4 linked regions of the Caenorhabditis elegans genome follow. The protein of the gene in region 4 purifies or fractionates together with the protein of the main gene of each other region. This does not show direct contact. Each region holds a gene or a part of one and is shown on either strand. Other genes may lie near its edges.

Region 1 (8,360 bases), on a different chromosome or scaffold from region 4:
GGTGCAATCGACCATTTTTGAAGAATTACGTGTGCATATTTTCAACATTAACATTGTCGGTAGGCACTTGGCAGGCATAAAATACTTTGAAGGCAGGTAGGCAGTTTTGTGCCTACTTGAAAGTTTTAGTTGAGAACAACAATTGTACAAAATAGACTATTGCACCATGTTGTTCCAACATTTTCTTTGAGAATTAGTGTCAAAAAATAGAAAATCACTTGATTTATTTGAAAATAACATTTATTTTAGTTGAAATGTTTGTGAAAATGCTCAAAAATGGCCTGAAACAAAAATTTTGAAAAATGAAAATATGTTGGAATAACATGGTGCAACCGACCAATTTTGTAGAATTATTACGGGAACAATAAATCATGAGAATGCGTACGTGGAGCATTTTATTTGACGCGCGATATCTCTTAGCGAAAACTACAGTAAGAACTCAAATAACTATTGCTATTTAAGTTCTTACTGTAGTTTTCGGTAAGAGATATCGCGCGTCAAATAGAATGCTCCACGTACGCATTCTCATGATTTATTGTTCCCGGTAATACAGAGAATAAACTTAATTTGAGACTCACTTGATTATTTTTTCAATTATTAATCCATCTCACCTCCGAATCACCTTCCTAACTTTATAGACAGTTGTGCTGGAACAAATCGCAATGAAAGCAATAAAAATCAAAGAAATTTTCATCGCGGCCGGTCTATCGGAAGTCCAATGGGATTCAATTCTATCAAAAAAACGGAAAATGATATTTTTTTGCAGAATAAAAAAAAATTGGTGAAAAACCAGTTTCGAAATGAAGTAAATAGCATCTTATTGCTATCATCTCTTCATCTCCAAAAATGACCTCATCTCCATTTCAGAGCGTAGAGACCAAAATCACAGGGAACTAGAAGAGGTGTGTGTGTGTGTGACTTTTTTGTAGTTATAGGTTGTAGTTTTTTGAAAAATCTGACTTTTATATTTACTCAATTGGAGGAATATGTGTAATTCAAAAAATGAAGATTCCGTTAGCTATCGGCAAATCGGCAAATTTCCGGCAAATTTCCATAATTGAAATTTCCGGCAAATTGGCAGAATTGAAATTTCCGGCAAATCGGCAAATTTCGAGAATTGAAATTACCGGCAAATTGGCAGAATTGAAATTTCCGGCAAATCGGCAAACTTCCAGAATTGAACTTTCCGGCAAATCGGCGAATTTCCGGAATTTAAATTTTCCGGCAAATCGGCAAATTTCCTGAATTGAAATTTCCGGCGAATTGGCAGAATTGAAATTTCCGGCAAATCGGCAAATTTGCAGAATTGAAATTTTCCGGCAAATCGGCAAATTTGCAGAATTGAAATTTCCGGCGAATCGGCAAATTTCCAGAATTGAAATTTTCGGCAAATCGGCAAATTGGCAAAATTCCAGAATTGAAATTACCGGCAAATTGGCAGAATTGAAATTTCCGGCAAATCGGCAAACTTCCAGAATTGAACTTTCCGGCAAATCGGCGAATTTCCGGAATTGAAATTTTCCGGCAAATCGGCAAATTTGCAGAATTGAAATTTCCGGCAAATCGGCAAATTTGCAGAATTGAAATTTTCCGGCAAATCGGCAAATTTGCAGAATTGAAATTTCCGGCAAATCGGCAAACTTCCAGAATTGAAATTTTCGGCAAATCGACAAATTTCCAGAATTGAAAATTTCCGGCAAATTTGCGGAACTGAAACTTCCGGCAAATCGGCAAATTTCCGGCAAATTTTCCGGAATTGAAATTTCCGGCAAATCGGCAATTCGGAAAATTTCCGTAAAGTTTTTTTTAAAAATATTTTCCTCATGTCTTAAAATTGCACAGTTTCCGCCTGACGCAGCGGCTCCATTGAGCTGCCGGGAACCTGTAATAAATTGCATTGAAGAATTCCATAAAAATCGAATCGTTTAGATATAAAAAATAATAATTGAAACAGGCATAAAGCAGATAGTGGGACACGGAACTGGGGGAGGAGGGGGTAAATTGAATAATTATGTCCAGAGAATCGGGCTATATAACATTTTTTGAAGAAGGTCGCCTATTTTTGAGAAAATTTTGAAGAATTTTTGAGCCAGCGCCAAATGGAACAAATTAGGGAGAAAAAGGGGGAAAATATGCAAAAAAAACAAATAAATTACGATGAAAAGTGAGCAAAAAAGGGAAAAAATTCAATATTTAGAAGAATCTCTTGTGCATCGCCGACGCTCCCATATCTTCGTACTCCTTCTTTCCGAGCCACATTTTTCGGAAAGTGTCCAAACTGGCGACAATCGAACCGCCGATCCATGTGAGCGAATTTCGTTCCTGCGACGCGGAAATTCGAATTTTTCCGTCAGCGGGCGCGATTTTTCGCATTTCTCCCAGCAAACGATCGCCGAATCCTTTGAACAACGTCGTTCCACCGCTCAGCACGATGTTGCTGTACAGAGTTTGTCGAAGATCCACGTCACATTTCTGGAAATATTTAGTTTGAGCTGATGGGTGTTTTTTTTTTTTAGAAATTCCGCATTTTTTGGCTAAAATTTAACTGAAAATTTATTTAAAAAAATTCCTCTGATATCACAGTGGCTAAATATCATAGAAAAAAAAATTCTAAATTTTATATGATTTTTAAAAATTGAAAAATAGCTTTAAAAAATTTAAACCTCGCGCCAAGTGGTTTTATCGATTTTTTTTTTTAATTTTCTACCGATTTTTCATGTTTTCAGTATTTTTTTACTGGAAATTCGAAGGAAAAGTTAAGAAAAATGCGAAATATCAATTAAAAATCAGCGTTGAAGGCGTAAACCTTCAATGTTGAGTTTTAATCGATAATTCGCATTTTTCTTGACTTTTCTTCAAACTTCCTGTAAAAATACACTGAAAACGTGAAAAATCGGTGGAAAATAAGATAAAAATCGATAAAATCACTTGGCTAGGCTCGTTTTAAAGAAATTTCGCATTTTTTGGGTAAAATTCAACAGAAAATTGATATTTATATGGTAATCTTGTAGAAATTTCGATTTTTGTTCTACTTTAAGAGCTAAAACATTTCCAAAACGAAAAATCAAGTTAAAAAGTCTAAAAGATGAAAAATGTGCACTTAAAATAGCAATATTATGTGCCAATTAATATTTTCCAACGAAATTCCACCAAAAATTAAGCAAAAATGTCTGAAAAAGTGATTTTTCGTCCGAGCAGGCTGTGAGCCTACCATAATTGATTGATTGACAACATGTGCCATTCCAGGCCACTCGGTTCCGATCAAATCCGGCTTGAAGAGCACTTCCGGCGCACGGAACAATGAGTTGGAGATTTCGATTTTCGTGGTGTCTGGCAGAGCGTAGGATGACTGAAAGAATGCGATTTTCAGCTCATTTTCACTGCAAAAAAAATCACTACTTTCACTGAATTATTCTCCACTTTCGTCGGATCCAACGCCAAATAGCACGCGTTCTCCTTCATCTCTCGGACAATTTCGAACTCATTGCTCCTGTGGAACTCGTATCCTTCTCTGCGCAGAAGGACTCGGAGGTATTCGGTGACATCGCGACCCGCCAAATCCATTCGTTGAATTCTGAAAAAAGGAAATTTTAGAATTAAATGCTTTTTTTAAAGGTGGAGTGCGCCCAATGGAGAAATTGCTTTAAAACACGCCTATGTGGTCACAATGACCGAATATCATGATTAAAAAATTCAAAAAAATTTTCCTGATTTTATATGATTTTTTGAAAATTGCAAAAATATCAGTTTTCCCCCCTAATTCCTATTTGAATTTCCGCCAATTGAATTCGTTCGCTGGAGCGCACTTGCATTATTTTTATTAATTTAAATTTTTATTTCATTTTTTCTCATTACTTCACTGATTTTCTTCATTCTTTGTGTATTTTTATCGGAAAAAGAGAGAAAAATTCAAGATAAATTGCAAATTATTTATTTAAAAATCACTGAAAATGGGTGAAACTGTGAACTAAGCTAATTTCAGGTTTGCTATCGCCGGAACTCATAATTTTACAGTTTTACGCATTTTCAGTGATTTTTAAATAAATAATTTGCAATTTATCTTGAATTTTTCTCTCTTATTCCGATAAAAATACACAAAGAATGAAGAAAAACCAGTGAAATAATGAGAAAAAATAAAATGAAATGCAAGTGCGCTCCAGCGAACGAATTCATATGGCGGAAATTCAAACCGGAATTAGGGGAAAACTGGGATTTTCGCAACTTTCAAAAAAAAAAAATCATATAAAATCTAGAAAATTTTTTTGAATTTTTTTATCATGATATTCGGTCATTGTGACCACATAGGCGTGTTTTAAAGCAATTTCCCAGAGTTTACTGACGCATGCTTCATTGCAAATCCCTTAACAATCGGAACAGCATGTGTGACTCCGTCTCCTGAATCCAAAACGACTCCGGTCGTTCTTCCGGTGGCGTACAGCGATAGCACAGCTTGCATTTGAATATATAACGCTGGAACATTGAACGTTTCGAAGAAGATCTCAGCAGATCGCTCGCGGTTCTTCAACGGATTCAATGGGGCGTCGGTGAGCAGAACTGGATGCTCTTCTGGGAAGATTTTCAGCTGATCCTGTCCGAAAATGTACTCCCAAATTTTTTCCATATCGCTCCAGTTATTGACGATTCCGTGTTCCATTGGGTATTCGATTGAGAACAACCCGCGGTTTGATTCGGCCTTTGGTCCGATGAAAATGTCTCCGTCGAGCCCTCCGGCCATTACTCTGTGATATTTCGGTCGTCCGACGAAGTTGGCGAAGCGAACCTGTAAAAAATGAATTAAAAGATGATTTAAAATTCAAAATTCAAAAATCTCAAGTTTTGATTCGTTATTGCCTACCTTTGGCTGCTGTTCTCCGGCGAAACCAGCCTTAATGACTCCGGAGCCATTGTCGATGACCACAGGCTGATTGGCGATGACGTCGTAGTCCATTTTGTAACCTGAAAGATAAAATAACAGTTTTAACCAAAATTTGAGCTTGAAACAATTAAAAAACCCCGGATTAATTGGCATTTTCTGTGGAAACAAAATTAAATGAGAGTTGCGAAATGTACGCAGAGTTGCAGCCGCCGTGTTTGCGGACAATGCATCATTTGCGCGGAGAAATGGGGGTTTTGTACTTTGGAGGACAGAGGCTGAACAAATACATAGCGAGAGTATCGGAAACTATTGATTTTCCAATAGTATAATAAGAATACATGCACCTATACTTCTGGCAAAATATTACAACAGGATTCGATGCGGACCTGAGCAAAAAGAAAGCAATCCTCTTACGCGCGCGCCTTTAAAGAGTACTGTAATTTCAAACTTCCGTTGCTGTGGAATTTTCATGGATTTTTTTGGAAATTTTTCCATAAAAATATTTATTTAAAATGTGTTACAGTTTTTAATCACCAAAACATTGGAAATATTTTGCAATATATAGCTCTAATTAGAGCTCTAAACTGTTAATTTCAAAATTGAAGTTCAAACAACAAAGTGGGCGTGGCCAAACGAGACTCCGAATTCCGATACGCAGTTTGCAGTGGGAATTGATGAATTTCAAGTTTTAAATGAAGTTTTCGAGATTTTGTTCACCGAAAATAGAAGTTTATTAACTACATACAAGACAAATTAGCATTTGAAAACAAAATGGCTTGCTAGAAAAAAAAACCTGAACCAAAAAGTAAGTTGATAAAACCAAAAAACATTTTTCATTCATTTGAATATCCTATCTTGTATTTCTTCGCCGAAAGTTGTCCAAAGTTGGAGAAAGTTGTTGGGGAAAGTTTCTCGAAAGTTTCTCGAACCGTATACAGTAGTCATCACTTTCAGCAGTTTCTGTGTAAATTTTGCGTAGATCACAGTTTATTTATCTCTCAAATCGTATTTCTGTTTTATTGTTATCTACAAATACATTGTGATCTACGTGTGATCTACAAAAACAAACGCCTCTTGCATTGTTTTTTAATCTTGTCGTCTATACTACACACACACACACACGTCTCCCATCCGGAATGATACTTGGCACAGTGCCCGCAGTGTTGTGATCTCTGCGCAACATGGCCCTCTTCCTCCCTCTCTCGGCGTCTCTCACAATAGAGTGCTGTCTGCAGACCGTTGTGGTGCACAGTTTTTTTTTATTGTTTTCTGCTTTCAAATCCTTGTTGCTTTCATATTTTCTGCTCGTTTCTTTTTCCATAATTGAAAACTGTTTATCGAAATAATCTTTTGTAGCTTTGCAAAGTTAAACATGTTTCATTTTTTCTCACAAATTCCGACAGAAATTTCATTTACTTTCAGTGACCACCACGCCAGTACAAGTACCAGCTCGCATGACTAAAGGAAGTTCTGATAAAGACAATGGATACGAAAACATCAGATAATCGTAGTTTGGATCGGAATTGAGTGATGACATGTTTGAGGTATTGCGCATGTGTCTTCTGCCACATTTTAACAATTTTTAATTTAGGAGGACATCTACATGACACATAGAAGTTTGTCAATCTGTTGTCAAGACTCCGACTACAATTGCACCATATGAAAATTTTGGCGAGAGAAATGAAAAACAGACGTACTGGTTAATGGCCGACTGTTGTCGATGTGGTCCGAAGAACTCTATTTATTGAAAGTCCTGAAAGACTAGGGTGAGTTTCAGCTTGTTTAAAAGAATACATATATTTACCGAGGGGAATTTGAAATAATTTTGTTATGTATTTCAGCTCCGGAAACAGTTTTTGCAATCAGAAGATCCCTGGAATTCCTTAGAACACTCGCTCCACATGCAAATTGTCGTCGTTTTGAAGGAGTCATTATTGGAAAACGGGAACACTCGTGGTGGATCTCTTCGAAATTGCATTGCCGCGGTGGGTTTAATGAAAAATATCGGAAGTGCATACTACACTGGGTCATTTTGTAGACTTGTTGGTGGGCATTTAGGGGGGGGGGCGGCTTCCTCCGAGCCTGCTGTGCCTACCTAATAGGCATCTTATCAGTCAAAAATCCGATAACACTTGCTCTAAATGGAAAGATGGAGGACACAGGCGAGAGTGGCTTGAGTCCTGGATCCCCCGAAGTTTGAATATTCAAAAATGGAAGAATTGTCACATTTCCTTTTCTTGTTCCTTATTTGCTTTGATTTGGGGTTCCGCTTTCGATATTCCAGTTCTATTTTAATAGTAGTAATAGAGTGCCACGGATTTTGGGTTTGGTTCATAGTTTTATCCGCTTGAGCGGGGGTTAAAAAGTGAAGGCTAGCATGCACAGCGTGCTTCCGGATACATCTCCACGCTTTCCAAATACAGGTGGAGTATTCCCTGTTAATTTTGCCGTATAGGATCATCATTGATTGACCACATCTAATTCTGGGCAATTTCACTCATGTGTTCCTGGGCAACTCTTTTTATTTTTCTGCTAATTCGGGGGAAGGTCCTAGAATACTATTGACTTGTGAACTGTTTATGATCCTTCTGGCAAACTTACTGTGGTTTTCCGTTTGTATGTCCTTCGTCGACAAGAGCAGGACAATCCAACCGTTGATTGCGCTCGAGGTGTTATCCGATGGTGGTTCTCGAGGCCCACTCAACACTCATTCGAGTGGCCTTCTAGTCTTCAAATGTTCCGTTGTATTTTGATGTGTTGACATTGATGTAATTTGATGGTTGGTGATGCCATCAGAACTTTGAAAATTAGTTTACACTGTGCTCTTTCATTGATATATCGAGCCGAAACTGTAGTTTTAAAAAGAATTGGGATCGAAATCACTAGTCATCGGTTGGTATTTTAGTGAAATTCATACGCTGTCTTTCATTTGGGGTTCCTTTTTAAAATTTCAGTTTTATATTGATGTAGAGTGATTGGAGTCGCCGTGAGAACTTTGAAAATAAGTTTACACTGTGCTCTTTCATTGGTATATCGAGCCGAAACTGTAGTTTTGAAAAGAATTGGGATAGAAATTGTTTTTTTTTTCTTTTTTTTTTTTCTTATTTTTAATAACGTGAGGAAAATTGACTTTTACTTTTTCTCTAATGGTATTGAGGACTGCAAAGGTCACTTCTAAACACACTCCCAGCCTTGACTACCTTTGCTCATTGACTACCTCATATCATTGACTACCTTGTACTTTAGATTAAGATATACAACTTTGTAGTTTATTACTTTGTCTTAAAAATTTTCCCACGGAGATATCAGCATCCGAAGTGAGTGCGTTTTTTGAGCTTAGGGGTTCTACTTTACCTCAGGTTTTCGTCTGCAATAGTGTGCAGAACATCCAAACTAGAAAAACGACAAAAATTGCACTTTTCTATAATATCTGATCAAATTTTGAAAAATTTTCAAAAAAATAAATTTTGGAAAATTTTATTAG
Region 2 (7,212 bases), on a different chromosome or scaffold from region 4:
TCAATTGGGGTTTACGAATTGAACACTACATAATATATCAAAATCAGTAAGGTGGTAATAAATACATTTATAATAGTCCAAAATTATCGAATATCATTACATATAAACCACTCCAAAAAATATTTAGAGTTTAGAAAAATTGCAGTCAAGGTTTTGGCAAATTGGCAAATTTACGAAAAATGTGGGTTTCTGAGATACATTTTTTACTCACCTGTGTTATATGTAGACCTCGAATCTCTAAAAATTCTAAGATAGCTTTGATGACGTCACGTTCTCGAATCAAGAATGGTATTCCACTTGGCGTTTTCGGCGATTTGACAGACGTCGTTAAAGCCGACGGGATCCTATTATCCATTTTAGCATGGATAATGTTATTGCGAAATCTCGAAAATGACAATAATGAAAAATACCAACTAACTGCTTTTTGGGGAAAACTGGTAGTGGGGCTAGCTTTAACGAGAGATGATAGAGACGCAGACTGAAAAGAGGGTCGATGTGAAGAAGAAAGCGAAGAGATGGAGCAAGTAGGGGGAGTATTCCCATATAAAGGGAGCAGATGGTGTCAAGAAGAGAAGAATGAGATAGTACATAAGAAATGGAGACATAGAGAAATCGAAGAAGCAACATGGACAGATGGTATCATGACTGATTTACTGTATCTTATTTCTGATATCGTCTGACATAGAGATTACTGGATACATATATTTAGGTATTTAGACCTATTGGTACTACTGGAATTCTTCAATATGAGACTGAAAAGGGTGGATATTATACCAGTCTTGATGCCTCAAAGGGAAATCATTCACAACCACTTTTATGGTGCACAAATGACCAAATGTAAAACTGCTCAAAAATTCTCGGCAGAATTTTTTTTCTCAGTCAAAAAATTGCAATAACTCTGTTTTCATCTATGTATCACCTTAATTTTGGAGTCGACCAAAGGATATGCTTTTTTTAAAAGTATTAGTTTTTAAATTCTAACATTGTAATGCTCTTAATCCGCAGCAATACTCGAAAATTCTCAAAGTCCAATACTTTTCAAAATTTTATAACTTACTATTAGTACCAGAACTGTTTTTCCAAAAATTGGGGTCTCCCCTGCATATATTCTCTCCCTCTCTCTCTGCCAATACTTTGTACGGATACGTTTATAATAACTTTTATAATAGACCAACATAGCCGAAACACTCCAAAACTTTATTTAAATCCACAATTTTCAAATTTTTGGTAAACTACCAAATTTGGGATAGTTGTATTGTTGTATTTAAAATTGTATTCTTGCATTTTTTCACAATGTTCGAGTAAAAATATTTAAAAATAAATTTTAAAAAAACTGTGTAACTGACCTTTCGACTGTAAATCAAATCAACTCAAACATTTAAAAAAAAAGCTTTACTCTGAATTTTGGTAATGTTAACACTATACGAACTAGTTATACTAATTTCATCCATGGCTTTCCTTGGCGTAAAATCTCTCTAATTTTGAACGAAAACAAAGAAACTAATAAAAAGTATAGAGTACTTGATGGGAACACACCAACAAAACGAACAAAAAACAACTGATTCATCCCTGTCTCTTCTCATTCGAAAAAATGGAGAGAATGAGGGAAAAGGTACGAAAATGATCGACGAGAGGAGGAGAGGATACTCTACTGCAACGGATAAAACTGAATGAGAATTGTTTGTTTTTTTTTGTACATAGAAAATTTTTTGTAAAATAGCTCAATTATATTTTAAACCGAGTGGTAGTTCTGTTTTTTTAATCGGGTCTTGCAGCGATTTTGATTAGATTACTGTAACTATTCATGGAAGGCGTCAGAATATGTGGATGCACTTTGAAATAGAAAACCCTAACATAAATTTTACTAAAGAAATTAGGCTCTAAAGATTTGAAACCATAAACAAAACGGAACAGTTAAATTTTAAAAAATGTGTACCGTCCATTATATAGGCGGAGCTCTTCCGTATTCTCTATAAAACCGTTGAAGAAGTCCACGTTGGGTCAAAGAGATCGAGGAAAAGTTTAACAATAAGTGAGTGTAGCGGAAAAAGAGCATCCATTGTAAATGCATCGACTTGCTTCTTCCGCTTTTTTTTATTTGGGAGTCTCCCTGCATTTTCATAGTCTATATTTGTTTGTGAGAAAACGTGAACATGAGAGGTGCTTTATTTTTTTGGCAATTTAAAGTTTTTTTGAGATGTTAACATAGAGTATACAACAACAAACGGCAATATCTTGATGTCAAAAAAATAAATATTTGGCAATGTGGTCTTCAATTAGAAACTACGTTGTAAAGTATTCAACATCATTCGGATGGTACTGCTTCAAACTTATCTTCGTCCAATCTACTTTTTTTCGCTTCTGGCTCATCGGAGGTGTGCCCTCTGTCGATTACAAAATCTTCGTCACCAAAATCCACGTCATCTTGATTTGGTTTAGCGTTCGCATCGTCTTGAGTCATCATGTAGTACGGAGTTCCAACGTGTTCAGATGTTTTTTCAACGAGCATCTGATTAAGATCCCGAATACCAAGCCACTGACAAAACTCGGCAGATTGTGGATTACGGTAGTAGGCGCTTGGTGGCACATTTTTGGATGATTCCGTAATCTGTAAACAGTTGTTTTAATTACTATCCTTAAGAGATCCACGAAATTCTGAGATGACACTTACCTCTTTTAACGGAGGCGCAGTTTGTTGGAAACTGTCAGTTCTGATTGTTAAATCTCCGAGTTTTTCGATTTCTTTTAACTCCTCTGCTGTTGGTCGAAAATCTTTTCTTTCGTAGACACATGGACGATTTGATGCCATATCGGGAAGTATCAGCTGTTCTTTTGTTCCAGTTGTTAATAAATCTGTATTTCTCAGAATAGCCAACCATTGTGGATCATATGACAGTTCCAGTTTAGCATCGTCTGCAACATTCAACTCGAGAGCCTGAAAAATGAAAAAATTTATTCGATTGTATAATATTGAATGTTGAAGTTTAAAAAGTGAACGTGACGACTTGCCTGCATAAACTTTCTCCCAGGAATCGGTTTATCCAGTGATAAGAATCGTGTAGGCTGTGGACGGCCTGATCCTGAACCTTTATGAGGAACAAGGGCCGCAAAAGCAATATGAAGATGTGCAGCAAGATAGTATCTGGGCCGGCAATCCTAAAATACATACATACAGTAATTTTGCAAATATCACCAAAAAACATACATAAATCAGTTTCATTCCAGAAGGATTCCCCAGTTTGCCACTATTGTGATCTGCTTCAAATAAATCCTTTTTCCGGAAAAGCCATTCCTTATCACCAAAATCAGGAATACCTCCAGGCCAATCGTGTGAGAGCATTATGTCAATTGGGTTCTAAAATAGGAAAATGTTCATAAAAAAGTAATTTTCAAGCTTATACCGATATCTTATTTTCATTATCAGATTTCAATTGTCTTAACCGGAACATATCAACGTTTCGAACGTGATATGCGCTTTTAACATCTCTTTCCGAAAACGAAGGGCGTTCGTAATGCGAAAATTGAAAATCTCCTTGCGAGAAAATTCCAGAGAGTCCTGCGATACGAAGGTTAGCAAATCGAATGCAATTTGCGAATCCCATGTAATAAATATTCGGCGCCACCCATCCTCCATTAGGCAATTCACATAGATAACCAGATGCTTCATGGTTTCCGCCGATGAATAGAGTTAGAACTGGTGCTTTTTGTTCTCCAGAATAGTATTTATAGAATGTTTGAAGACTTCTGTACTTTGGTGGAATACTCATATGTGGAAGGTCGCCGTAGTTTCGGACAGCTTGATAATCGCCACAACAGATCAGCAAATCGAATTTGTAGCCATTTTTCTGTTCGATTAGTGTCATTGTCTGAAATATTTTTTTTAAATAGTTGTAATTTTAAATAGCAATTAAAACAATCTAATAGAGAAAATAGATCTGAAATATGCCATTAATTTTGTTCGAAAAATATGATTTTTTTTTAAATTTTACCTCATAAATAGCATCCATTTCTCCGTGAGAGCATCCGACAACAGCAATTCGTATTTTCTTTTCCCCATTGTTAACTTCTTTTTCAACTACTAACGTCTCCGGAGCAGGATCTTGATGCGAACCTTCATGGGAGCCACAGCAAGGTTGCTCATCTACTGGATTTTTCGATGACATTCTAAATTTTCATTGGAGTAAAAAAATGTTTAATGTTGATATCAGAAAATAAAAGGTATAAACCATTGAAGCTTTGTGGGATATTAACATTATTGAATACTTCGTGAATTTTATAAATTAAATAACGTATCAAAGTGAGATCAATCAATTAATGAAGATTAACGACGAGGAGCTGCTTGAGCTGGGAACATTTTCTTCCAGTAATCGACTTTTTCCATATTAACAAGTGGCATCAGCTGATCGGCAAAATCACGAAGAGACTTGGCAGCCTAAAATGAGTTGAAAAAATAAATTCGAAATTATTACTAAAAAACCTACCGGCATGTATTCTGCAGACTCGGGCAATGAGATACTGATTTCCACTAACGCAGAATCAGAAACAGATTTGATTGAATTTGAATCATATGTTCCTGCGCGAGAAGTACTAGTCAATATTGAGTGCAGAATCTTTATATTTCCTTTTGTCCACAATTTTCCTTGTGTCATATATTCATAGTCCATGCGGAGACCCAAGGATTTCGCATACGTCATCATATCCTGAGAATGGACAAGTGAACTGATTTCTTTTCGAACAATAGTTGGGCATTTTTGATCTGGTTCCGGAACTGAAATAAAACAAAAAATTATAAAATACGAATTATAAGGTTAAAACCGACCTCCAATGTACTTTAATTGCCAATAATTTTGAATTCGATGTTCTGTTCGGAATCTTCTTCGCAATCTTCAAAAATCAAATACATGCAAATATTTAAATAGATAAACAAAAAAGCTTACTTAATATCGGTTTTGATATCCATTATACCCGAAGATCGTAGGCTGAATGACATCTCATGCTCGAAGAATTCCTCACATCCCGGATCACAAAGGCCGGCTAAACGTCGTTCCAAGTCCTAAAGTTGAAACTTTTGTATTAGAATTTAGTCCAATTACTTTAAAAACTAACTGGGACATTTTTTGCGAAAATAGATCCATAAAGAACGCATTCTTGTGTTTGATAGGGAGTTGAATTCACAGAAAGCTGAATTAAAATGTTTTAGATGGATTTTAACAATCGAAATACCTTTTCTTGTGTTCCATCTTCATCAATATCCACTAAATTGTCCATATTTTGAATGAATCAACTAAATAAACAGAATAAAAAATGTTTTTAAAAAATTAAATTAATTCAAAACTATTTGAGCGTGATATTAAATGTATTCTACGCAATTCACAGCTGGTGTTTGCGGACTCACACTCTACGTGACTCATTTCCAGGGAAACCAACACTCCCGAATATTTTACCATTTTTACGATAAAACTCTGGTTTCAGTTACTTTAATGGTTAAAACTCTACTTACTTTCAATATTGCATAAAATATATGCGATAAGTTTTACGCATATAAAAAAAGAAGTTTGAAATTCTGAAAGAGTTCATTTCTAAGATTTAACAGATTCCAGAAATCAGTAGTGTCTCCATAAAAGTTTGTACTTTTTTGTACTTTTTTAAATTGCGCTTTCGGAAATTGTTACTTTTTAACATTTTTTCCCATTTTCCGCTCCGAATTACCTCTCTAAGATTTGCAGAAAATGACTGTGACGAGTGAAGAAGACCTATCTGAAAAAATGAGCGAACTCTACGTTGCAGAATGCAATGCGGTAAATTAAAAATCCTTTTACATGATTATGAACGACAAGACAAAAATAATTCGTTTTTAAATTCCGAGTTTGTTTCCCTAAAATAGTATAAAAATAATTAAGTCTGTATGAATTTAATTTTTCAGGCTAAAGCTCGGCTCGAAGTTGAGACCGAATGTCGAAGAATCATTGCTGATAACTATGAAAAAGTTCTGGAACGAGCAAAGGAATATTCGAAAAAGTTGGAAGCTCCTATTTTGGTAAATTACATTCTCTCTCATATAATCTTATTCTAATTTTTAGGCGAAAATTTGCGAAGTCGGTTATTTCTGCGGTGCCCATGTAGTTCGCACGAATCAAGTTACGATGGAAATGGGTGCAAACTATTACGGAGAATGCAGCATTCATACAGCTGAAAAGATCTTGGATCGGAGAGTTTCTGAAATGAGAAGGCAGCGTGAGGAAGGTCTCGATTCAATTCGAATGTTGGATGACAAAATAAAGTTTGCTCAAGATAATTTCTCATCTGTTTCGATTGATGGAGGACCTATCGAAATTGTCGAGAAATACGATGAAGAGATGGAAAAACTGTTTTATCAAAATCGCAAAAACAAAAAGATGTCTCAAAATGATGAACAGAACGAGAAGATAATAGAAAAGAACAAATTGAATGGTGACCAAGATCACAACGATGTGATGAACCGTTTGGAAGAACTAGAGAAACTGGAACAAGACAATGATGAGATGGAAGAAGCTCCAATTCCGAAACCTTTTGAAGTTTCAAACGAAGATTTACAGGATTTGGGTAAATTAGAGGAAGTTGAGGAAGTTGAACAAGATCCAACTGATAAAAAACTAAGATTTGGAATGAATGAACGTTTGCTGGCACAACCTGGAGTAACACAGAAGGAAATGGAACGGCTGTTAGATTTCTTAGACACTTGTGATGAAGAGAGTTCCGATGAGGAGTATGATGAAGATGAAGAGGAAGGAGACGATGATGAAGAGAATCTTAACAATAGTGTAGAAGAACTCGACTCTGATGATTATGCATCTGATGATAATATCGAGAAAAGCAATAATTCTGACCAACAACTGAAATCCAAAAAGATAGAGACCCAAGTGATTAAGGTCGAAGAAATTGTTGAGGTAATTTCAAATACTAAATAGAAACAATTCACTATTATTTTAACACACAATTTTTAGGAAACCGTAACAAAAACCACCGTCAAACGGAAAAAATCGGGAGTTCGATTTGCGCAACAGCTTGAAAATGTGAAAACATTCCATCAAACAGACACTGTCGAAATCAAGGAAGAAGATTCAGTTATTGAAACCAAATCAATTCTCCGGAGCACTGAACCAACACCCGTTGATCGTTCAGCTCTCGAACCCGAGCAAAAGGAACTTGCTGCGATGAGCACAATGACATTTC
Region 3 (7,567 bases), on a different chromosome or scaffold from region 4:
AAAAATCGATTAAAAATATGGAATTAATTACAGAATGCGACGTCAAATTGTCCCGAATATCGATTATTACTCTCGACATTTGAAATCTTCGGATTTAATTTCACTTGAGAGACGTTTTGGGTCAAGACTCGGTGCTGAGACTCGAAAATAGTAATTATTAATTTCAGAAAACATGAAATAATTAAAAAAAATGTTTTTAGCATTCGAAATTTGGCAGTAAAAACCGTGAAAATCGTGCAAGTAGTTGCAAGCCGCCCGGTGGAGAAAAATTCTGAAATTGAGGTGCAAAAGGTCGCAAGCTTGGAGCTTCAAGCGGCTCCGACGGCTCCGACGACCAGCGCAGCACAATTGGGCAAAACAAAAAGTCCTGGAGCAAGAACTCAACGGATCGAAAGAAATGATGAGTTATCCCGTGATGTGTTCGAAAGTTCTTGTGCTTCGACAATTGTGGAGCCAGAGCCTCCACAAGAAGAGCCTCCACAGAGGTGAATACTCCACAGATGTCACAAAAAATCGAATTTTTTGCCAAAAAAACTAGTTTTTGCTCCGAAAAACCAACAAACATCGATTTTTTTTTAAATTAAAAAAAAACTTTTTTTTCTCTCATTTTTTCTGCAGCAGGAAATAAATAAATTGAGGAAATATTTTCAGATCACACAATTGGAAGACGGAAATGCGAAAAATAGCCGGCCAAGCAGCTCAAGCAATTAACGATTTGATCCGACAGACTGTTGAAAATAATGATTTCAATAAGGTACAGCAAAGATAAGATGCATGTACCTTTAAATGTGAAGTACGGTCGTATACGGTGCCCGGTCTCGACACGACAATTTTTTTTTCAATCAATTTTTACGGTTGTGCGCCTTTAAAGAATACTGTAATTTCGAACTATTGTAGCTGTGGAATTTTCCACCAATTTTTCAGTTTTTCTCAAAGTCGTGTGTTTTTTTAATCGAAAAGCTATGAAAACTCCTCAGAAAAGAGTAGTTTGAAAATACAGTACTCTTTAAAGGCGCAAACCCTTTTGTGTTCGACAAAAATTTTCGTGTCGAGACCGGCTACCGTATTTTTGGTGCGAAATTTCGCGTCTGGATAATAAGAGAAACACTAATTTTCTTTGATTTTGTGAAAATTAGAAAAGAAAAACATTTTTTTCCGGTTTTTGGCTTTAAGCAAACACTTAAAACGGAACTTCTCGTTTTTTTTTTGGAAAAAAAAATTAAAAATCGGAGAGGAACTTCAAACCAATCAGCGCCTGGCTCCGCCCACCTTCGCTGATTGGTTTGGAATTTTTGGCCCTAAAAATGACACAATTTCGTATAAAATACAGTTTCTTTTTTTTCAGAAAATGTTCGCTGAACTCGAGAACCAACAAAATCTAGACCACCTGTACGGAAAAATGTTCGACGATCCAAATAAAGCCGATTGGATAATGATTGATGTCAAAAAGTTCACTGAAAACCACCTTCGCATGCAATATTTCCGTAAAATACGCGAAGAGCTACACAAAAGATTCACCAATCAGCATATCATTCGTGCCGTTTTTTGCTTTTTCCAATTTTTTGAGTATTATGTGACAGTTTGTGTTGATGTGAGTTTATTCCGAGAAATTGAAAACTTCTCGATTTACCTGAATTTTTTACTTGAATCGCCGCGCTTTTGTCTCTAAACTCCGCCCATAAAACCGTGCCGCACTGTTTTTTTTTCTAATTTTCAATTAAGAATACGGTCAGCAATGTTAAACAATTATTGAAAATTAGAAAAAAAAAACAGGAATCTGTGTCGAAATTGAAAAAACCAGAGTGCGGCACGGTTTTTATAGGCGGAACTTAGAGACAAAAGCGCGAGAATTCAAATTAGGCGTAAAAAATCCGAATTTTTTCGTTTTTTTTTCTTTTTTGGCATTTGGGACTAGTTTTTGAGTATTTTAAATTAAAATCCTTTCAAAAAATTAAAATTAAATTTCCAGGAGTCCACCGACAACTACATTCTGCTAATGAACAAAGTTTTGGAAATGTCCATCAAATTGTTGCCACTTTATATTGTTCATTGTTGATCATGCTCGCCCCTCCAATGTTAAGAATTATTTATTGAAATCATCCCGTTTTATTTACAATAAAATTATGCGATAGCTCGTTGTTTCGGTACGAAATTATCATAGTACATCGTTATGGCCTCCATCATCAGGTTCTCGGTGCAACGGGGTTCAGTGCCGACCACTTGAGCTGAAAAAGAGTTGATTTTGTTTTGGAAAAATTCCGGCAATTTTTGGAAAATTGCCGAATTCGCCGGAAATTTCATTTTCTTTTCGCGGCTCAAAAATTTCTTGGAGAATGGAAGAACTGCCGGTGTAGTCCTCGAGGAGGTTTTTTTTTTCAAAATTTTAAAAATCAGTTTTCAGCAAAAATGATCGATTTTGGAAAAAAAATTTTTTTTTTGAAAATCGAGAAATTTAAAGAACATTTATTTCCAAAAAAAATTAAGAAACTACCGGAGATTATTGAAAATTTTAATTTTTTCTAAAAATTAAAAAAAAAACTTTAAATTTTCGATTAGTACGATTTTTCGGAAATTTTTTTCAAATTTTTGAGAAATTCTTTCTGATAAATCTGCATTTTTTTCTGAAAGTTTTATTTTCTAGAAAATCCAAAAAAAAATTTCAGATTTTTTGGTAAAAAATTCAAATTTTCGATAATATCCGGCCATTTTTTTTCAAAGAAATGTGTTTTTTTAAAATAAAAATTGAATCTTCATTAAATTTTTTCTAATTTTCCTTTTTTAAACTGAAAAGCCTAAAATGGTCCAAAAATGAAAAAAATCGAGTCAAAAACTGAAAATTTACTGTAGAATAAAATTAAAACTTCTCCTCGGGGAGTACACAGCGATTCTACCATTTTTTGAAAATTAGGGAGCTCAGAAAAATAAGAAAAATAAGAAAAATCGATAATTTTCGATTTTTCGCCAAAATTCCAATTTTTCAATAATTTCAGTTTTTTTAAAAATGTTTTTTGAAAGAAATTTCTCAATTTTTCCAGTTTTTTCGATTTTTCCTACTTAAAAAGTTCGAAAAATTAGGAATTTTCGATTTTCCGTCAAAATTCCAATTTTTCAATCATCACAGGCAATTTTTGTGCTTTTAAAAACGTTTTTTTTCCAGTTTTTCGATTTTCCGGCTCTCAAAAAAATTAGGAAAATTTCAAATTTTCGCTTTTTCGACGGCATACTGACCAGGATTCCCGCCGATCGTTGAGTACGGTGGAAAAAGTGCGTCCGCTGGAACTACAGTATCCGGAAGAACCCTCGAACATTCTCGAATCACACAACCATTTCCGAGCACCGCACGAGCTCCAAGATGTACAAATGCGTAGATTTGAGCGGCATTGACGACACATTCTTCTTCAATAAATACATAATCACCAATCATAACGTTGCACATTGTTGGTTTTTTGCTGAATATTTTCATGCATGGACGGATGTTACATCGAGACTTTAGAACACAATATTTTCCAATTTTAACTGTCGCCAGATCACCGCGAATTGTCACTCCTTCCTCGATTATTGTCTGCAAAATTTCACTTTTTTTGATGTTTCAAATCAGGGGTGGGCGGCTATTTATTTTTGGCAGATTGCCGGTGTACCAAAATTGCCGGTTTGCCGAATTTGCCGGAAATTTTAGATTTTGGCAACTTGACAGTTTACCGAATTTGCCAAAAATTAGAATTTTTGGGAAATTGCCGGTTTGCCGGAAATTTTAAATTTTTACAAATTGCCGGTTTGTCGTTTGCCGAAAATTTCAATTTTTGACAAATTGCTTATTTGCCGGAAAATTTCAATTTTTCGAAAATTGCCGGTTTGCCGAATACTTTCATTTTTGGAAAATTGCCGATTTGCCGAAAATTGTAATTTTTGTCAAATTGCCTATTTGCCGGAATTTTTAAATTCCGGCAAATTGCCGGTTTGTCAAGTTTGCCGGAAATTTTCATTTTCGGAAAATTGCCGGTCTGTCGGAAATTTTAATTTTTGGAAAATTGCCGGAAATTTTTTTTTCTCGCAAATTTACGGAAATTTTAATTTTTGGCAAATTGCCAGTGTGCCGGAAGTTTGAATATTTGGCATATTTGCCGGTTTGCCGAATATTCCTAAAATGCTCAATTCCGGCCCACTTGCCGATTTGCCGGAAATTTTCATTTTCGGAAAATTACTGATTTGCCGGAATTTTCATCTTCAGCCGGTTTACCGAATTTTCAAGAAATTTTAATTTTCGCCAAACTGTTGGTAATTTTAAGTTTTGGTAAATTGCCAATTTGCCGATTTGCCGAAAATTTAAATTTTTTCCAAATTGCCGGTTTGGCAAATATGCCAGAAATTTTAAATTCCGGCAAATTGCCGAATTTGCCAAAAAATTTGTATAGCTTATTCCAAAAATCTAGAAAAATTATATTGCGCTATTTTTTTAATTTCTTTTTTTTTTCAAAATACTTGGAAAACACTGAATTTTTTCTAAAAATTTCCAAAAATTCTCACTTTTCCAGCAATTAAAATATTCTGTGTTCCAGCAATTGCATGCTTCTTATTCACTTTATTTCCCGTATGCGTCTTCGCCCATTCCGTCTCATCGTAGTAGACAATTGGAAGATCCATCTGAAAATCAGCGTCTGAAATTTTTCTAGTTTTTTTTTAAATTCAAAAATATCACAAAAGAGTTCTACTTTTTCAAATCGAGCGGAATTTTTCTCCAAAAAGACTACAAAAATAAGGGAATTTATATATAACGGGGGAATAAATTAAAGCAATAGTCATGCAAAAAAACACAATTTAAGAAAAAAAATTGGGGGCGCAGGAATCAAATTTCTTCGAGAATTTTTTCGTTCAAAAGGTTTTAAAAAATTGGTAATTTTTGGAAATAAAAATAATAAGTACATACACGAATCGCCCAGAATAAGATGAAAAAAAGTGAAATGTGTGTTCAAAAATTTCGGGAATTAGAGAGAAAAAAACGTGGAGAAGGGATTAAAATTGGAGAAAATATATAGGGAAAAAATACAAAAAAATGGAGAAAAAAAATTAAGTAAGAGCTCCGAAAACTGGATTGTAACGACAAATCGATGGTCCTCTCTCCATGTATTCGGCCTTTGTGTGTGAAACTTGGTAGAATTCCGACTGAAAATTTGGAATTGATAGTTTTTTTGGTGATTTTTTCACTAAATTTTGGGGGAATTTAATTGATTCTAAATTAAAATTTAAAAAAGTTTCCAAAAAAAATTTCATTTTTCAATTTTTTCCGACTGAAATCTTGGCTATTTTTGTGTTTCAAAAAGTTTCGAAAAATTGCCAAAAAAAAATTAAAAATATAATTTCCGAATAAAATTTTTTTTCAATTTTTTCTCAAAAACTTAAAATTGACTTTTTTGGGAATTTCAAAAAAAAAAATCAAATATTAGATTTTTTTTTGGAAAAAATCGGAAACATTTGTTTTTTTTCGAATTCTACCGATTTTTTTAAAATTTAATTTAAATTCGAAATCTACAGTTTTTTTTCACTAAATTTCGGGAGAATTTAATTTATTCTGAATAAAAATTTTTTAAAAAGTTTCCAAAAAAAAAAACAATTTTCAATTTTTTGAGTTTCAAAAAGTTTTGCAAATTTGAAGAAAAACAAATTAAAAATATAATTTCCGGATAAAACTTAAAATTGACTTTTTTTTGGGAATTTCAAAGAAAAAAAAATCAAAAATTAGATTTTTTTTTTGGAAAAATTAGTTGGCTAGTAAAAATCGATTTTTTTTTGAATTTTCAAAACTTGTTCAGAAATAGTGCTTTATTTATTTCAAAAACCATAGTTTTTCAGTGAAATTTTTTTATTTCTTAAATTCGAAATCTAATTTTTTTTTTTTTGATTTTTTTCACTTTCAAATTTCGGGGGAATTTATGACTTTATTCTGAATAAAAATTCAAAAATTTCCAAAAAAAAAATAAAATTTTCAATTTTTTTCCGACTGAAAATTTGGATATTTTTGAGTTTTAAAAAGTTTTGAAAAATTGCCAAAAAATTAAAAATATAAATTTTTAAAAATTTGTTGAGGTAACTGGAATACAAATTTCAGAAATTTCATTCGAAGCTCTGAATAAAACTTTTTTTTTTAATTTTTCGAATAAAAATCCGAATTTTTGAAATTTTTCTCAAAAAAAATCAATTATTTTTGGGAATTTTACAGAAAAAATCGAAAATTAAATTTTTTTTGTTGGAAAAATTAGTTGGTTAGTAAAAAATAATAAAATCGATTTTTTTAAAAAATTTACGAAATTCAAAAAATATAGTTTTTTTTAGTGAAAAAGTTTAATTTTCATTCAAATTTTCGAATAAATTATTTTCAACGAAAGAATTGATATTTTTTGCAAAAAAAGTACCAAAATTTCGGTCAAAAATGCATTTTCTCGGAAAAAATAGCAATTTTTTGAGATTTTCAAAATTTATGCTCATTTTTTTTAAAAATTTATGCTCAATTTATTAATTTTTAATCAACTTTTCAAAGTTTACCGGAAAAAATGGTTTTTTTCATTAAAAACTGTTTTAAAGCATATTATTCCCATTTGATAAGGCTGTTTTTTGTGAAAAAAAAAGTTTTTTATTCAGAAAAATCGATTTTTACTCAACTTTTCCAGTATTTCTTCAATATTCTTTTTTTAGATATATTTTTTACAAATATTTCCAACTGACAAAAACTCACAGTGGATGCACTTTTCAAGGTTTTCCGGAAAAATGTGGTTTAAAAATTTTTTTTTTTCATTAAAAAAACGTTTTAAAACATATTATTCCGTTTTGAAAAAGCTTTTTTTGTGAAAAAAAAAAGTTTTTTATTCAGAAAAATCGATTTTTACTCAACTTTTCCAGTATTCCATTAAAAAAAATAGTTTTTACAAATATTTCCAACTGACAAAAACTCACAGTGGACGCCAGCATAGATCCTCCAAACCAAACCGCATATCTCTGCATTTTATGCGAAATCACTTGAACATCAATCGGCTTCGGCTTCAACCGTCCACCACTCAGCGTCTCGCTCATCTGAAGTCTCCCATCACTGAGACGCTTCACGTCACGCTGAAGCTTCCGTGCAAAGTCCTTGAACATTGTAGATCCTCCAGAGAGCACAATATTCTCGTAGAGTCCACGACGAACATCAATTGGACACTGTTGAATAAGTGTGTCAATTGTATCAGAGATTGGTGTCGTGAATTCTGGATTACAGAATTCTGGATGGAAAAAGATTTCAGGACCCAAGAATCTCTCGTATCCAACGTCGACGTTAAACGGTTTTTTTGTAATCGAATTAATTCCATCGTAGGTTCGAAGCCACTTTGCCGCGTCCGTATCATACTTTACAAATTCCTTCATAACATCCGGGCACACGTAGCAGAACTTTTCCTTAATCATCTTCGCCACCTCATAGCTCTGCTCGGCTGGAATTGTGTGCTCACGATCACGGAGCAGACTTTGAATGAAATAGGTGATGTCACGGCCGGCAATTGGAATGTGTTTGATACAGGAACCGATTACATAGCCATCGGCA
Region 4 (6,498 bases):
GTGGGGCCTCTTTTTTGAGGAAATTAATTTTATAAAATTATTTTGAATTTCCTTTTTAAGATGCTTCGCATTATCCAACGTATTCCTACTGAACGATATCTCTGTACTCTTCCTGTGAAAAATCCAAAGCTTCACAGAACTAAAGATCAGAGAGATATTACGTAAGATTATGCTTTTTTAAACCTTCAAGTTTTTAATCAACAATTTTCAGAAACATGGACTTACTTGAAGAACAAATTCGTATTAAAAGCGCAGAAAAAAATCGCGAAATGACAATACAAGGACAGAAAGTGAAATGGGCTTATCGATCAGAGGTAAATTATATATACTGAAGAATATTCTAAAAACTGATTTAAATTGATTTCCAGCTTGTCGGCCGACATGACCTCGATAAAAATCATCGTAATACATGGATGGCTTACCTAATCATTATTCTTGTCGGATTCGGTGCGTTTGTAACAGTGAAATCTCAGGTGGTAATGGGTCGACGCCAGGAAATGGATGCTCGCGAAGCTCTCAGAAAGGAGCTGCAATTGAGTGGAGACGATCGAAAAAAGATTGGAGTAGTCTGATAATAATTCATATTGTTTTATTGCGGGTTTCTTTATATATTTTTTAGTTAGAACCCTATTTTTGTTTTTAGAAATAATAATTAGTTTGTTTAAATCTCATTTTTCTTTTCTGTTTCTCAAATTACATTATGGTTTGGTAATAACCTTGCAAATATTTTTATCGTAATTTCCTGGTCAACATCAATATTTCATATTTTTAAAGTAATTTCAGAATGTTGAACGTTGGTGATAGTGTTCAAATTGCCGGATGTTCAACAAAGAAACGCTTACTGGAAACTTCAAGTGGTTGCGATTCATTTGACACACTCATTGGAGGAGCTTTAGTTAATTCAAGTATTGTTCTCATAGGTAATTTATTAATTTAGTTGCTACCTGTTCATTAAATACCCGCTAACCTAAAATTAAAATCACATTCATTTTCAGACGAGTATCGTTCTCGTTGCTATGGATCTTATCTCATTCGTTCATTCCTCGCAGAAGGACTTCATCATGGTCATCGATGCTTCATTGCGGATCCCACGGAAGATCCCAAAGAGATCAATCTCATACCATCTAGAAGAACATCCACGGATATGCAAAATCAAGAAATTCCAAATTCTCTGCCGGCAGAAAATGAAAACTCGATGAAAATTGCGTGGCGGTATGGAAATGTAAAACAAGTTTCCTCTTCCCTTGGACCATTAAGCAACGAAAATCAGTATGACTTTACGAAGCATGTAGAGAATCCGAATGTTGACGTGTATGCGGAGAAAGTTTTTACGCTAAAAGGGATTTACGAGACGCTCTGCCAAATTGTAAAAGAAAATGAAGCTCACACAAAATCCGGCGGAAGAGGTGAGATTTTTATTGAATTATTATACATAAACTAATGAATTTTACTTCAGGTGGACCGAAAAAGAATCTTCTTCGAGTGGTTCTGAAGAATATCGATATGGAAATTTGTGAAGATTACAAGTTCCTTGGCCGATTCCTGTGCTGTCTCCGATCTTTAGCTCGTTCGAGTTACATGATTGTATACATCACGGCTAACTCCTTCAGAGTTCCGAAACCAACTTGGCGTATACTGGAATCCGCAGCTGATACACATATTCAACTGATGCCGTTTGATGAAAATGAGAAGAAAATGTTCAAACATCTTGGCACTGCTCATGGATACTTCCATTTGAAGAGTTTGCCCCGATTGATGTCCGTTGGAACACACACTCCACCGATTCTCGATCTTATTTTTGAAGCAAGTTCCAGAAAAGGTTTCCAAATTCGAGTGATGCATCTTCCACCTGCATTTGATGAGCCAGCTCCAGGTCATCAAAATACTCCATCTTGCCAGAATATTGATTTTTGATTTTCTCGATCATGTTTATTTGTTGTTGGGATGTTTGAATGTTGAATTTTAAAGTATTTAATTTAAAGCATAAAAACGTCTTCTAAATATTTAACAAAGCTTATAAATTATGTTTAAGAAAAGACACGCTGTGGTAGAGAAAGGATAGAAACAAATATACATGAAATGATTATCTGAGATCTACTTTTAAATTAGCAGAGAGAATTGGATCAGGACACGTTTCTTCTGGTTTCAATATTTTGTCACTAGCGGAGGAGAGACGGAACGATCCATCCTGACAATATGTAATCAAAAGATTGAGACATGGAGAAGAGAGATCCATCTCGGTGGGAATAACATCCAGTCGAAGGCCAACTCGGTTGTGCTGTCGGAACACGATGACGTCACTGGAATACCATTTTTAGTCAATTAAAAACAAGAAAAAACTAACCTTTGGTCAGCATGAACTCCAGGAGCAGCAGTATCCGATGCTCGCGATGATGGAAGAAGAAGCTGGATTGGATCACTGGAACATTGAATGAAACCATTTCCAGATTGAGGTGCGATAGTCAAATCCATTGCAGATGATGATAAGTTGGTAATAGAGAGAAATACGTGTGATGTCTCCCCAACTTTAAGATCATCAACCGGTCGAGACATTCTGATGTCAGGAACAAATTGACGGGCAAATGACTGAAATTTAAACTTTTTACATTATTGTTGAATGAGCTACTCACCGAAATTTTAAATTTAAAGGTAGTAACTCCGAAGTCTCGTTTGATAAGAGTTCTTTCGCACTCATCACATCGAACTTGAACTCTTCCAGCCAGAGGAACTTGTACAGGAAGGAGTGGCTCAGAGATATTGATCAATGGTTGCATTATGATTTGATCGAGAGTTCTCAGATCATCCGTTCTTTCTTTAATCTCATCTTCAAGAGTCGGCGCTTCTGTTGGAGCATGTGCATCAACTGGATTCATTTCAGGAGCCAGTGCTTTTTTCCGCTTATCTACCATTTGTTGAAATCCAAACTTGTCTTTCAAGTGAAAAGCAGTCCAGGCTTTGCCCGATTTTCCCTTTTTCAAATCTTTTGGAGCATTTTCAATCAATTCAAGTCTCTTCATGTATGCCGTCACCTCACCAAGTTGATTAACCAATGGATTTTCTTTTCTGTATAAATAAAATGTCATAAGATCATATTTACAGTTAGTCATACGTTGGCCAGGATTTAGTATTCTCTTGATCTTCTTGATTCGCTTCTCTTGAAGACCAACGACAGTACTGACAAACCAAATATACATTATCATTTTCTGTACGAGCACTCAGAACGTTAGCTGAAAATATTCAAATATATTTACAAAATAGTGGATAAATCATACCACACTTAGGACAATCATTGCAACTTGCGCATTTATGCTTTTTAAGTCTTGCTTCAGGGACGCTTGATGGTTCAAGGCATCGAGGACAGAAAATATTGTCAACTTCTCCCAAGCTACAGTCATCACACCTGGAAAAGTTGGTTAATTTTTTTTTTCAATTATTTTTAGACAATTACCCATTAAAAAAACTTACTTAATTTTGAAGCAATATCGGCAGAAAACAAGGTCCGGAAGGGTTCGAAATTTTCCACAGGTGCACTCGTATTTGATTCGACTGTACTGCAGCAACTCGCTCATATTGAGAACCGCAACCGCTCCTAAATGTTAAATTTTTAATTCGAAAATTTGAAAAAGTAGCAGTTTAATGTTATTTTAATCACAAAAATTAATGTTAAACTTAAATAATTATTTTTGTAAAAAAAACTATTTCACAACACGATCTCGTCCCTCGGCCGCGCTGAGATTTCTCGGCCACAGTATCGCACTCTCTCCTTTTAACATGGTCTCTCGCACGAGAAATTAGTACCCGCACAACTGGAATACGGAAAACTCAATTAATGTTGAAAATGCATATAAATAAATACGAAGGTTATTGAGGATGGAACACCTTTGACTTGACATCAATTACAAATATTTTAGAAAACAAATTAACTAATATTTTATAATCCGGATAGGGATTTCATTTGGGAGAAGATTGCATTTTACATACTAATTAAAATTGGGCTGGCAGGTCGTCGACGCAAGTGTATGTTATTACAGGAACACGATATTCTAAGAATGCATATTGCGCAACATATTTATAAAAATATATATTTGACGCGAAATAAACAAAATATCTCGTAACGAAAACTACAGTAACTCTTTTCATAAGTAACTACTGTACTGGTGTCGATTTACGGAAATAATTTTTAATCGATAAAATATAAATGGAAAACAGAAAAATGACAAAACAGTACGAATAAAACAAAAAAATAAAATCTCTGCCACAAGTGTTTTCGAACGGTAATTCGTTTCGAAAATCGGGACCGTAAATCGACACCAGCGCTACAGTAGTCATTTAAAAAAGTTTCGTAGTTTTCGCTATGAGATATTTAGTTCGTCAAATATGTTGGCAGTGAAATTCTCACTCGTTTTTCTTGGATAGTTGGGTAGAGTAAAGGGCTGGCAGTGAAACCGTACCAAACCACGCTATCGTGGTAGGCGTGATACAAGTAGTTGTACTACTTTGGCGAAAAGACCTTCCTAATCTGCAAAATCTTGAAGGTATACTGAAAATAAGATCGAGATTTGAGAAGCTGAAATTGTCGAACCTTTGATACTCATGTCAAAACTCCGATACAACATTGTAAATTTTTTGTGTGCTTAGCCTTCACGTGAAAAGTGAGTTTTCCACTGAACACCGTGAATTTCAGAAACATTTTCAGAGCGGAATTTACAGATTTCCAGAGGTCTTCGGCAAAATTTTATTTGATTCTGGTAGCTGATTACTTAATCTTTTCACAAAAAAATAAAGTATAACTTCTGTTATACTTCCAAGTTTATCCTAAGACCTAGTCAGAGAGGCATTTTTCTATTATATTCAGCACAAAAGAATGTAATTGGTTCTCAGTGAACATATTCTTAAACGACGTTTTAGTGTATTCTTCCCAAAAATCAAAAAAATTAACATTTACTAGATTGCAAGTTTATTCAAGTTCAAGAGATTCGCCTTCTTTAATCAAAACAATCGGCCACTTTAACGAACAACTCAAGGCTGCCGTCAGTCCCAGATGGAACGAGTTTTCCAAATTCGTGCTGCTTTTCGGTAAAAGTAGACGAAACGGACGTATGGGAACTGATGGATGAAGCATCAGAAGCGTGAGAAGAGGACGAAGAATATATAACTCCCAAGTTCACATAAATAGTCGGTGGCGATTTTGAAGATGGAGCTGGCGGGTTATAGTCTCTTCCGAAGATCTTGTTAATCTGCGACAAGTCGACCATTGACCTCTTCTTGCGAGTATTTCTACCCTTGAGAACCTGTTTTGCAGGGTTCATCGTGATTTTCGATCCGATCTCAGACTTTTCCGAGTTAAAATTAGTTGCCGATGATGAAAGCGATAGGTTTTTCTAAAAGTTCAGAATATTAAACTTTCCAGCAAAAAATATGATTTACCACAGTCGAACTAGACATCATTTGAGGAACAAATCCACACGAGGCGATTGTGATTGGCTTGTTTTCAGTCAGATTTAACTCGGAATTGCGTCTCGAGGAAGTCAATTCTTCATCTGCATCAGCCAAGTCTTTAAGATATACTGAAAAATTAAAATGGGTCTCCAATTATTTTCCGCCATTGCAAACCTTTGTAAGTCATGTCGAAGCTCTTGTTGGCCGGGAAATTCGTGAAAAAATCGTTGAATGTCGATATTATGTCACTTGCAGACATGTGAGCACTCTGAAAGTTTAAAAGTTGACATTTAATTGAAAGCACAAAAATTACCTCTTTAGCTTTTCGAGAAGTCATTGTGACCGTTTACAATGAATCAATTCAAAATACACAATACATTTTTTTTGAAGTTTCCAAGTATAGAAAATAAATTTGAAACGGTTATCACGTGGATATAAGAGTTAATAATTTTTATATCCAACATGAAAATAATGAAACAATATTTATTAAAAATTTCAGTTAAATCTTTCTACTCTTCAAGGTGTTGTCTCCATGTGAGAAAGCAGGAGTTTTCCATGGCGATCACAGAATCACAAACCGCACTTATGCGCCGAAACATCCGATCGGCGGATCCTGCGTTCACCGGTTTTCAATTTTTGACAATCGGTGAAATCGGCGATTAACACAAAAAATTTGCCGCAAATTTCCGTTTTGTTCTAATGGGGCATATACTAATGAATAAGAACTCAGATGGAAAGTTGAACAAGATTAAAACATTTATAAACGCATTTAAAAAAAGTTGTATTTAAAGTAGTAAGCCACGCCTAAGCCTAAGCCACGCCTAAGCCTAAGCCAAAGCCACGCCTAAGCCTAAGCCTAAGCCTAAGCCTAAGCCTAAGCTAAGAAAATAGTCAACGGAGAGTAACAAACTTTTAACCTCCATAATCATAATCATAATCTATATAATCTATATAATATATATATATATATATATATATATTCTGAAATAATGCTCAATTTATAACATTTTCTAATAAAATCTCTTCATATAAAATCTGTTTATAACAAAAAAGCACAAG

The links.
Region 1: the proteins of dnc-4 (region 4) and arp-1 fractionate together in Caenorhabditis elegans (co-fractionation; one large-scale study listed by BioGRID). This does not show direct contact.
Region 2: the proteins of dnc-4 (region 4) and dbr-1 fractionate together in Caenorhabditis elegans (co-fractionation; one large-scale study listed by BioGRID). This does not show direct contact.
Region 3: the proteins of dnc-4 (region 4) and dnc-5 fractionate together in Caenorhabditis elegans (co-fractionation; one large-scale study listed by BioGRID). This does not show direct contact.

The regions. Positions count from the first base shown.
Region 1 is NC_003280.10:15,116,897-15,125,256, reverse strand, and holds arp-1 (Actin), read right to left. Parts: upstream 4,957-8,360; 5' UTR 4,949-4,956; coding exon 4,856-4,948; intron 4,781-4,855; coding exon 4,341-4,780; intron 3,575-4,340; coding exon 3,400-3,574; intron 3,350-3,399; coding exon 3,212-3,349; intron 2,473-3,211; coding exon 2,194-2,472; 3' UTR 1,912-2,193; downstream 1-1,911. Other genes in the region: Y53F4B.23 (Neuropeptide-Like Protein), read right to left, coding at 612-694.
Region 2 is NC_003279.8:6,488,564-6,495,775, forward strand, and holds dbr-1 (Lariat debranching enzyme), read right to left. Parts: upstream 4,165-7,212; 5' UTR 4,164-4,164; coding exon 3,990-4,163; intron 3,867-3,989; coding exon 3,402-3,866; intron 3,356-3,401; coding exon 3,206-3,355; intron 3,157-3,205; coding exon 3,010-3,156; intron 2,936-3,009; coding exon 2,672-2,935; intron 2,609-2,671; coding exon 2,306-2,608; 3' UTR 2,158-2,305; downstream 1-2,157. Other genes in the region: nmtn-1 (CTLH domain-containing protein), read right to left, coding at 212-355; mdt-18 (Mediator of RNA polymerase II transcription subunit 18), read right to left, coding at 4,322-4,432, 4,482-4,768, 4,820-4,884, 4,938-5,053, 5,107-5,181, 5,224-5,268; uri-1 (Unconventional prefoldin RPB5 interactor), read left to right, coding at 5,766-5,798, 5,924-6,037, 6,081-6,926, 6,984-7,212. UniProt on the Caenorhabditis elegans protein: Cleaves the 2'-5' phosphodiester linkage at the branch point of lariat intron pre-mRNAs after splicing and converts them into linear molecules that are subsequently degraded. It thereby facilitates ribonucleotide turnover.
Region 3 is NC_003279.8:2,878,800-2,886,366, forward strand, and holds dnc-5 (Dynactin subunit 5), read right to left. Parts: upstream 4,656-7,567; 5' UTR 4,642-4,655; coding exon 4,525-4,641; intron 3,563-4,524; coding exon 3,229-3,562; intron 2,226-3,228; coding exon 2,122-2,225; 3' UTR 2,077-2,121; downstream 1-2,076. Other genes in the region: Y71F9AL.8 (Myb_DNA-bind_3 domain-containing protein), read left to right, coding at 34-150, 201-485, 652-754, 1,346-1,591, 1,970-2,056; arx-1 (Actin-related protein 3), read right to left, coding at 5,065-5,160, 6,946-7,567.
Region 4 is NC_003282.8:8,016,220-8,022,717, forward strand, and holds dnc-4 (Dynactin subunit 4), read right to left. Parts: upstream 3,590-6,498; 5' UTR 3,570-3,589; coding exon 3,466-3,569; intron 3,401-3,465; coding exon 3,273-3,400; intron 3,228-3,272; coding exon 3,110-3,227; intron 3,064-3,109; coding exon 2,631-3,063; intron 2,587-2,630; coding exon 2,345-2,586; intron 2,301-2,344; coding exon 2,084-2,300; 3' UTR 1,956-2,083; downstream 1-1,955. Other genes in the region: C26B2.7 (Cytochrome c oxidase assembly protein COX20, mitochondrial), read left to right, coding at 61-161, 212-314, 369-572; elpc-4 (Elongator complex protein 4), read left to right, coding at 785-920, 996-1,406, 1,457-1,914; C26B2.2 (Membrane-associated kinase regulator), read right to left, coding at 4,986-5,381, 5,428-5,567, 5,614-5,707, 5,753-5,776.